Linked DNA regions of Cricetulus griseus. The protein of the gene in region 1 purifies or fractionates together with the protein of each later gene. This does not show direct contact. Links are inferred from orthologs where the notes say so. Each region holds a gene or a part of one and is shown in the gene's direction. Other genes may lie near its edges. The genes, in order: Amhr2 and Cdc37.

Region 1 (4,604 bases):
CTTGTGATCAAATCAGGTGTTGGAGGGAGGAGATTCTGCTCTCTGCAAGGGGCTTTTCGGGCTTTATCAAGATGTTGGTGAGAGCCCAGAAGTCTCTGGTAGGACACAATATGATGATGGACCTACTGCATCTCCTTGAGAAGTTCTTCAAACCTCTTCCAGAAAGCTACGATGAGTTTAAGCAGAACATCCACAGCCTATTTCCTGTCATCATCGACACCAAGAATGTGACAGAAGACATCTGGAAGGAAATGCATTTCCTACAAGCCTCCAACCTCTCAGAAGTAAGTGTATGATGTGCTGAGCAGTGACTTGAATGCCACTAACAATTCTGGACCAGAGATTATCCATGCAAGCGAGTGTGAGAAATATGCTGAGACCAAGTGCCCCCATGAAGCCGGATACAATGCCTTCCTCTGCGGGTCAGTTCTCTTGAAAGTAGCACACTTGCTCCTGGAGAGGGTGCATGGTGATGGTTCTGTGGACGAGCTCACCTCACATACCTGGATGTGCTGGAGCACTATGTGAACCAAGTGAATCTTATCAGAGCTGGGGTTCCTAAAATTAATCTTTCTGGCCCAGATTACCCCAGTATCTGGCCTCCTGCACTCATCCTCACCGTCAAGAGGGCCTGGGGTCACCGAGCATCAGGTCTACTGTGAGTTCCAATATCTTTGCAGGTTGGATGTCAGGCGGTTCACCCCAAACCAGTTTCTGCTCCTGACCAATAAGTTTAAGGATGCCTGTAGTGTCTTGAAGGAGTACAGGAGCCACCCAACCCTGCAGGTCTCCCTATACTGCTACTGGAAACATTCCTCCAACATCACCTGCCTGTTAAAAGTCTGCAGCATCATCACCACCTGGGCCGTAGTTGCATTTGTCCTGGGCAGATCCAGCCCCAGAGTACATTGATCCTCGACTACTGCGGGAGCTTCCCGGGATGGCCCTCATGACTTGTCTGTATAAACAAGTTTGTTTTCAGGAAAAAAAAAAATATATATATATATATAAAAGAGTGTCTAGTACTTTTGACCCATTGCACCATCTCACCAGTCCTACAGTGTGATTTTGTTGTTGTTTTGATTTTTGAGACAGGGTTTCTCTGTGAAAGCCTCTGCCTCCTGCCTATTTTTTTTTTTTTTTAGATCTGAAAATTTTCATATTCATTCTGATTCGAGTTTGGAAAGTGAGAACTACTGTAATATGGACTGTGAGTCTTCTTCTATTCAGAATGCTACGTATCCAGTCTCTCAATAGTGGGTTAGGAAGGGTCTTGGGCAGAACTGAGTGGCTCCAAACATTTGACATCTTCCTGGGAAAGGCTGAAGGTCCAGCACCTTCTCCCAAGGTCAGTGATGAGTAGAGATTTTGAAGTTATCACAGGGTTCTCAGCCAGGCAGCCAAGGTCCCTTCCTCCCACTCTACAGAGAAAAGAGGAGGTGGTTGAAGAAAGGATATGAGATTGGTTCTCTGCTCCTCCCTTTCTCTCCCTGTTTTCTCCCCCACAGCTGCCTTCTCCCCCACAGAAACTGGGATAGGACAGAGGGGGGCGGAGTTTGGAAGCCCTACAGTGCCCTGTATCAGTAGGAATCCTTGGATGGAGTAGCTGTGCTGGTTTGTGCTGTCCAGCTGCCATCCTTTAGCAGGATGCTGGGGACACTGGGGCTTTGGACATTGCTTCCTGCAGTTGCACAAGGTAAGTGTCTACAGATACAGGCAGGGTCTTAACACAATCCAATAAGGGGAAAGGTATACTTGAAGCAGCAGCTACCCCTTTGGAAGAGGAAGAGGTCAGTGGGCTGGGTGAGTAAAGATGAAGGGCAGAGCCACTTGTTCCCATGGGGGATCAGGCCTCAGGCCTCTGCTGACTGTTTCCTTGTGCCTCTGCCATCCTGACCCTGGGCTCCTATTTTGTTTATCCTTTTGGCTGCTGTTTGTCCCCTGACTTTACTCCCTTCTTGACTCCCCTTTCTTCACCTTTGATTTCAGTAACCCCAAACAGTAGGACCTGTGTGTTCTTTGAGGCTCCTGGAGTACGAGGAAGCGCAAAGACACTGGGGGAAGTGCTAGATGAAAGACCAGGACCCCCTAAGAGTATCCGCTGCCTCTACAGCCATTGCTGCTTTGGCATCTGGAACCTGACCCATGGACGGGCACGTGTGGAGATGCAAGGTGAATGGCAAAATATATGGTGGGTGAGAGCTAGGGTAGAGGAGAGGCATGTCCAAGTTGAGGGAGGCAGCCAAGAGGAAAGGGAGAAGCGGAGTGTGTAGATGGGAGAAAAGCATGTCGGAGGGATGCCTTTGATAGAGAAGGGATGTGCTTTCTGCCTCCCAACATCATTGTACTCTCTCTCCTTTTCCTCCGTCCCCCAATCCCATCCCACCAGGATGCCGAGACAGTGATGAGCCAGGCTGTGAGTCCCTCCACTGTGACCCAGTCCCCCGAGCCCACCCAAGCCCCATCTCCACTCTCCTCACATGTTCTTGTGGCAGTGACTTCTGCAATGCCAATTACAGCCATCTGCCTCCTTCAGGGAACCAAGGGGCGCCTGGCCCCCAGGATCCCCAGCCTACCACAGGTAGTTGCCTTCCCTAGGGTACTAAGCTCAGAAAGGGTAGGAGCATAGGTCAGGATGAGAACCAGGGCCAGTTCTCAGCCCACTCCCACCCAAAGTTTCCCTCCTCCTGGCCTTGGGAAGTTGGTTGCCCTGGCGACTGGGAGATAAGGGGGCTTGTGACCAGCATGGGGGTGGTTTGGAAAGCAATCTCTTTGAAGAGGGGAGAGGTTCAGTGCTCACCCACGTGTCTTCTTGCCTTGCTGTCCAGGTGGGCCCATCTGGATGGCACTGCTGCTGCTGGGAATGTTCCTCGTGCTGCTACTGGGCAGCATCATCTTGGGTACTAATCTCTCCCACCCCTCCCTTGTGATAGCAAGGCTCTTCCCCAAAGCTCCAAGCCTTCTTCAGGCTCTGCAGACGCCCCCCACCACCAGTTTTGGGATCTCTGTAACCCATTTCATTGTATGAAGCTCTCTTCCCACATAGCCTCCTTGGCTGCCTCCATCCTGTGCACCCTACCCTAAGGCTCTTCTCTGCTTCAGCCCTGCTACAACGAAAGACCTGTGCAGTGAACGGTGGGTCAGACCCGGAGCCAGTCTCAGGCGGAGACTGCAGTGAGGAATTGCCAGAGCTGAATGAGCTGTGCTTCTCCCAGGTGCTTCATAAAAGGAGGGTGGGTTTCTCTGGTACTCTTGGAGGTTCTGCTGGGGAGGAAGCCTGGTTCTGATGCTAGCTCAGAGGTCCGCACTCAGTGCAGTGTTTCCACCAGGTAATCCAAGAAGGAGGTCACGCAGTCGTGTGGGCCGGGAGGCTACAGGGTGAGATGGTAGCCATCAAGGCCTTCCCCCCAAGGGCTGTGGCCCAGTTCCGAGCTGAGAGAGCTGTGTACCAGTTGCCAGGCCTACAGCACAACCACATTGTACGCTTTATCACTGCTGGCCAGGGGGGTCCTGGCCCCCTGCCCTCTGGGCCTTTACTGGTACTGGAACTGTACCCTAAGGTGAGCACCAAGAAATGTCGGTAATGTGCACTATGCCTATTTTTGTGCTCATGGAAGTGAGGTGCTTCGTGCCTTCCTTAGGACACTGTTGGGTTTTTTGTTGTTTGTTGTTTTGTTTTTCGAGACAGGGTTTCTCTATATTGCTTTGGAGCCTGTCCTGTGTGCCACCACTGCCCAGCTAGAAATGAGCCACTGTTAAATATGAGCCACTGGATAAATAATATCCAACCACAGCTGTCCAACTCATTCATGTGTTTATTTAACCAATATTTATAAACAATATGGCAGGCTGGAGAGATGGCTCAGTGGTTAAGAGCACTGTCTGCTCTTCCAGAGGACCTGGGTTCAATTCCCAGAATCCATGTGGCAGCTCACACCTGTCTGTTACTCCAGTTCCAGGATTTCTTACACCCTTACACAGACATACATGCAGGCAAAACACCAATAAAAATAAATATAAACTTCTTAAAAAAAAAAAAAAGCCAGGTGGTAACGGCACATGCCTTTAATCCCAGCACTCGGGAGGCAGAGTCAGAAGGATCTCTGTGAGTTCGAGACCAGCCTGGTCTACAGAGTGAATTCCAGGACAGCCTCCAAAGCTACAGAGAAACGCTGTCTCGAAAAACAAACAGAAAGATTTGCCCTGAGGGATGGTGAGATGGCTCAGCTATGATGCTTGCTGTGCAAGCCTTGGGGATCTGAGTTCAGTCCCCAGAACCCAAGCAAAAATAGAAAGAGAGAACTGCACAAAGTTGTTCTCTGACCCCCACACACGCACTATAGCATGTGCTCCCAAAGACTCCCCCTTTCTATAATAATAAATTTCAAAAAATTATGTGTATAAGAGGCAGATGGATCTCTGTGAGTTTGAGACCAGTCTGGTCTACAGAGTGAGTTCCAGGACAGCCAGGACTACACAGAGAAACCTGACTCAAAAAACAAACAAAAATTTATTGTTTCACATGCATATATTATGCTTTACACCGAGTGCATGCCTGGAGAGGACACCAGATCTCCCGGGGCTGCAGTTTCAGATGAGCTGCT
Region 2 (4,309 bases), on another chromosome or scaffold:
GTGTCATCTGGAACAGCAGCCAATGCTCTTAACTGCTAAGCCATCTCTTCAGCCCCTGAAATGTAATTTAAAAAAATAAATTTTAAGGGCAGACCCAGTGTAGTGGAGCATGATTTCAATACCAGCATTGGGAGGCAGAAGCAAGGAGATCTGTGAGTTCAAGGCCAGCTCAGTCTACATAGTGAGTTCGAGGACAGCCAGGGCTACATAGTGAGACCCTGTCTTGAAAAAAAAAATTTTTTTTAAGAGTAAAAATCGGGGCTGGAGAGATGGCTCAGAGGTTAAGAACACTAACTACTCTTCCAGAGGTCCTGAGTTCAATTCCCAGCAACCACATGGTGGCTCACAACCATCTGTAATGAGATCTGGTGCTCTCTTCTGCTGTGCAGGCATACAAGCAGGCAGAATGTTGTAAACACAATAAGTAAGTAAATAAATCTTAAGAAAAGTAAAAATCTGTCGGGCACTGGTGGTGCTCGCCTTTAATCCCAGTACTGGTGGGGGCAGAGGCAGGTGGATCTCAACTCATTCCAGGCCAGCCTGGACTACAGAGCTAGTTACAGAACAGCCAGAGCTGTTGCAGCTGTTGAAACCCTGTCTCAACTCCCACCCCACCCCTAAAAAAAACCGCAAAATTTCACTCTTTTCTGTTTGTTTTGTTTTTCAATACAGGGTTTCTCTGTGTAACAGTCCTGGCACTCGATTTATAGACCTGCCTCTGCCTCCTGAGTGTTGGGATATAAGGCGTTTCTTTTTGGTTTTTCGAGACAGAGTTTCTCTGTGGCTTTGGAGCCTGTCCTGGCACTCGCTCTTGTAGACCAGGCTGGCCTCAAACTCACAGAGATCCGCCTGCTTCTGTCTCCCGAGTGCTGGGATTAAAGGCGTGCGCCACCAACGCCCGGCTCAATTTTGATTTTTTTGAGACAGAATCTCACTGCGGAGCCCTGGCTGGCCTGGAACTGTGTCGATCAGGCCTGCCTAGAACTCGCTGAGAGTGGCCTGACTTTGCTTTCCAAGTGCTGGGACTACCGTGGGCCGACAACCCCTAGGCAACTACCTTTTTTGTCCCCAGGGGATGCTCGGTTGGGTTTCGGCGGGAACTCCCAGAAGGCTGAACAACGTGAGCCTGGCCCTTTAAGAATCACCTCCGGTCGTCAGTGCCGCCGAGTCCCGTTGCTAAGGACGTGACGTCACGCGCGGATGCTGGGGCGGGGCCGTCGTGCGCGGCGCCGTGAGCGGAAGCGGAAGGGGCGGGGCTCCGCGAGCGGACTCTCTATCCCTTGTGGGTCCCTGTTCAGCGCCCGGCCGTGTGGAGCGCCGGGAGCCAATCCGGGCCTCCTAGGCGAAGATGGTGGACTACAGCGTTTGGGATCACATCGAGGTGTCGGACGATGAGGACGAGACGCACCCCAACATCGACACGGCCAGCCTCTTCCGCTGGCGGCACCAGGTGGGGCTGTGCGCGCGCATCCCCTTCCCCCCACTCCCGGGACCCCCCGCTCTAGAGTTCTGACCTCTTACCCTGGCCGCCCTGGTTCGGGCGGGTCGGGGGAAACTCAGTTATTGACATCGGGAGCCTCCTATTCCACAATCTGAACTTTCTGTCTCTCTTATTTTTTAAAAAAAATCGAACCAGGATCTCACTATAGCCTTGCCTGGCCTGGAACTTGCTATGTAGACCAGGCTGGCCACTAACTCACAGAGATCCGCCTGCCTCTGCCTTCCCAGTGCTGGGATTAAAGGTGTATACCGTCATGTGGCCTGGACTGTTAAATTCCATCCCAGGACTTCAGGATCACTGGGCTTCCTAACTCTCCACGGTCATCTCTGGGCTTTCCCCGCTGCTATCTCTTTTATTTTATTTGTACATTTGTTTGTTAGTTTACTTGTAGTGGTGTGTCTTGTGTGCTCGTGGCACAGCTTGTATCTGTAGATTAAAGGACAGTTAACAGAAGTCAGGCCTCTCCTTTCACCACGTTGGAACTGGGCATGGAACTTAGGTCACCCCAATTTGCCACAAGCACCTCCTATACACACTGAATCTTCTTATCAACTCCTAATACTTTCATCAGAGTCTAGACTCTCCAAACGCCGGCCCTTGTGAGTAGGGGTCCCCATCATCCTGTATGGAACCTTTTTTTCTCCTCAGAATTCTTTCTCGGAGTCCAGAACTCAGATTCTGTTAGGCTCTCCCTTGTTCTAGCCATGTGCCCACTGCTGATTGAACACCTCCCTTCTGCCTCTTCTCAGCCCCTGGAGTCTGGGTCCACGATACTTTTGATTTGATTGGGGCATCTACTTCCCAGGATCTTAAGCACAAATTTACATTAAGGCCCAGAGATACCCTGCCCCCAACTCCCAAACTGAATGAGAACTGTGTCTTACACTTAATTTCCCGATCTTAGCTTTCCGCTGGGATTCCACAACCCAGGGTCCCTTTCCCTGGAGTACAGACCAGAATCCCACTGGGGACTTCAGTCCCACCTAGGACTTCTCTCCATGTGGCCTCCAGCTCCACTGCTGCCCTGTGGCTTCCCTTACTCTTGCCTCCTGTAGACGCTTTTCCCCTTATTCCAGGAAACCCTACCCACTTAACTTCCGTCCAGAACCTCTGCCTGCTCCTTTATAGTAAGTAGACCCCCATCCTGTCCCTGGCTCCTGTATGAACTTTGGCCATCATTGAATACTCACCAAAATAGGAGCCGGGCAGTGGTGGTACACGCCTTTAATCCCAGCACTAGGGAGGCACAGGCAGGCCTGTGAGTTCCAGGTCAGCCTTGTTTACAGAGAGAATTCCAGGACAGCCAGGACTACACAGAGAAACCCTGACTTGAAAAACAAACAAACAAAAAACAGAAAGAAAGAAACTCACCAAACCTGAGCTCAGAACCCCAAACCTATTCTATCCTTCCCACCCTTTCCCCTGCAGCCTCCTTGGCTTCTCTGCAGTGTTCAAATCATCCTACTTAACTGGGGGAATCTCCTGGATCTTATCCCAACATCACCTTACTTCCTGAGCATGATGCCACATACCTTTAAACTCAGGTCTTGGGAGGTAGAAGTAGGAGGATGAGAAATTCAGTCAATCCTTGCTACATGTTAAATTCTAGGCCAGCTTGAACTACATGAAACACTGTCTCAAAAACCAAATAGGCTGGTGCTCAGTTGTGTGTCATTGCCTTGCACTGTGTCTCCAGCAGTGCTTAAAAGCTAGCCATGGTGGGACAGGCCTGTAGTCCCAGCACTGTGGAGATGGGAACAGGAAAGTCAGAAGTTCAAAGCCTTCAGCCACATAGTAAGCTTGAGGCTGGCATGGACCACATGGGATCCTGTCAACACCCAAGCAAATAAAATAAAATCCTACACATTTTTTTACATCTGTCCAGAACAGAGTCCCCCAGATTCAGACCTTAGAATCCCGTGTGTTTGAGCCATGGTTTTCCACCCCTCTTCTGCCCGGCATTGACCACGGGACAGTAGTGTACTACCAAGATCTAAGGGTGGTCTGGAGATGTGGTTTAGTGATAGAGCTCTTGTGTGGCATGCAGGAGGTCCTGGGCTCCATCCATAGCACAACAGTAAAGAGACAAGGGTCTAACCTGCTCTCCCAAATCACAGCATCTATATCCACCTACCTGTGTGCTATACCCTGTGCTTAAATTGTATTTTATTCATTTGTGTATACACTCCTGTATGTGTAAATGTACATGTGTAGTCCACGGAGGATAACTTGGTGGAATCTGTTTTCTCCTGCCATGTGGGTTCTGGGGATCAAACTCAGGTTTTCAGGCTTGGTGGCAGACCTTTACCCACCGAGCCCTCTCATTGGACCCTGAGTTTGTTATACTCTCAAGCTTAGGGCAGGTACTTTCTGGTTAGGAATTTTGCACCCCATCTTCCTGAGGGCAGCTCCTGCTCATTTATCTGGAAGCTCCTAGAAGGTCCTCCCTGTCTCCCCCAAATTAGTGTCTGTCCTCCACCCAATTCACACACCCATTCCTTCCAGTTTCCTAGGATGACTGCCTGCCAGGCAAGCTGCCAGCACTGAAGACCCCCTTGTGGTTGGTGAACTCTTCTCAGGAATAGTTTTATGAAGAGGTTCATCTTCCTACTTTGTGGAAAACAGTTGGGGCCTGCTGGGTGGGAGGAAGGCCTCCCCTCTACTAGTACAGAGCCTGCTTCCTGTCTTGCTGCTGTGGCTGTAATACTGAGGAGGGAAGTGGGGCCTTCTGCCCCAGCATGTGGGAGGATAGGCAGGCTCTGGTGGACATTCCAACCTTGCCTCTTGTGCATCCATCTGTGATTGGGC

What was found.
Region 2: the proteins of Amhr2 (region 1) and Cdc37 purify together in Homo sapiens (co-immunoprecipitation; 3 studies listed by BioGRID and IntAct, with this or other methods). This does not show direct contact. The link is inferred for Cricetulus griseus from reciprocal best matches to the Homo sapiens genes AMHR2 and CDC37.

What each region holds. Positions count from the first base shown.
Region 1 is NC_048595.1:398,821,549-398,826,152, forward strand, and holds the start of Amhr2 (anti-Muellerian hormone type-2 receptor), read left to right. Parts: upstream 1-1,647; coding exon 1,648-1,696; exon of another isoform or gene 1,697-1,989; coding exon 1,990-2,172; intron 2,173-2,389; coding exon 2,390-2,581; intron 2,582-2,828; coding exon 2,829-2,900; intron 2,901-3,102; coding exon 3,103-3,215; intron 3,216-3,329; coding exon 3,330-3,560; intron 3,561-4,604. UniProt on the Homo sapiens protein: On ligand binding, forms a receptor complex consisting of two type II and two type I transmembrane serine/threonine kinases.
Region 2 is NC_048597.1:134,006,745-134,011,053, reverse strand, and holds the start of Cdc37 (hsp90 co-chaperone Cdc37), read left to right. Parts: upstream 1-1,236; 5' UTR 1,237-1,348; coding exon 1,349-1,450; intron 1,451-4,309. UniProt on the Homo sapiens protein: Co-chaperone that binds to numerous kinases and promotes their interaction with the Hsp90 complex, resulting in stabilization and promotion of their activity. Inhibits HSP90AA1 ATPase activity.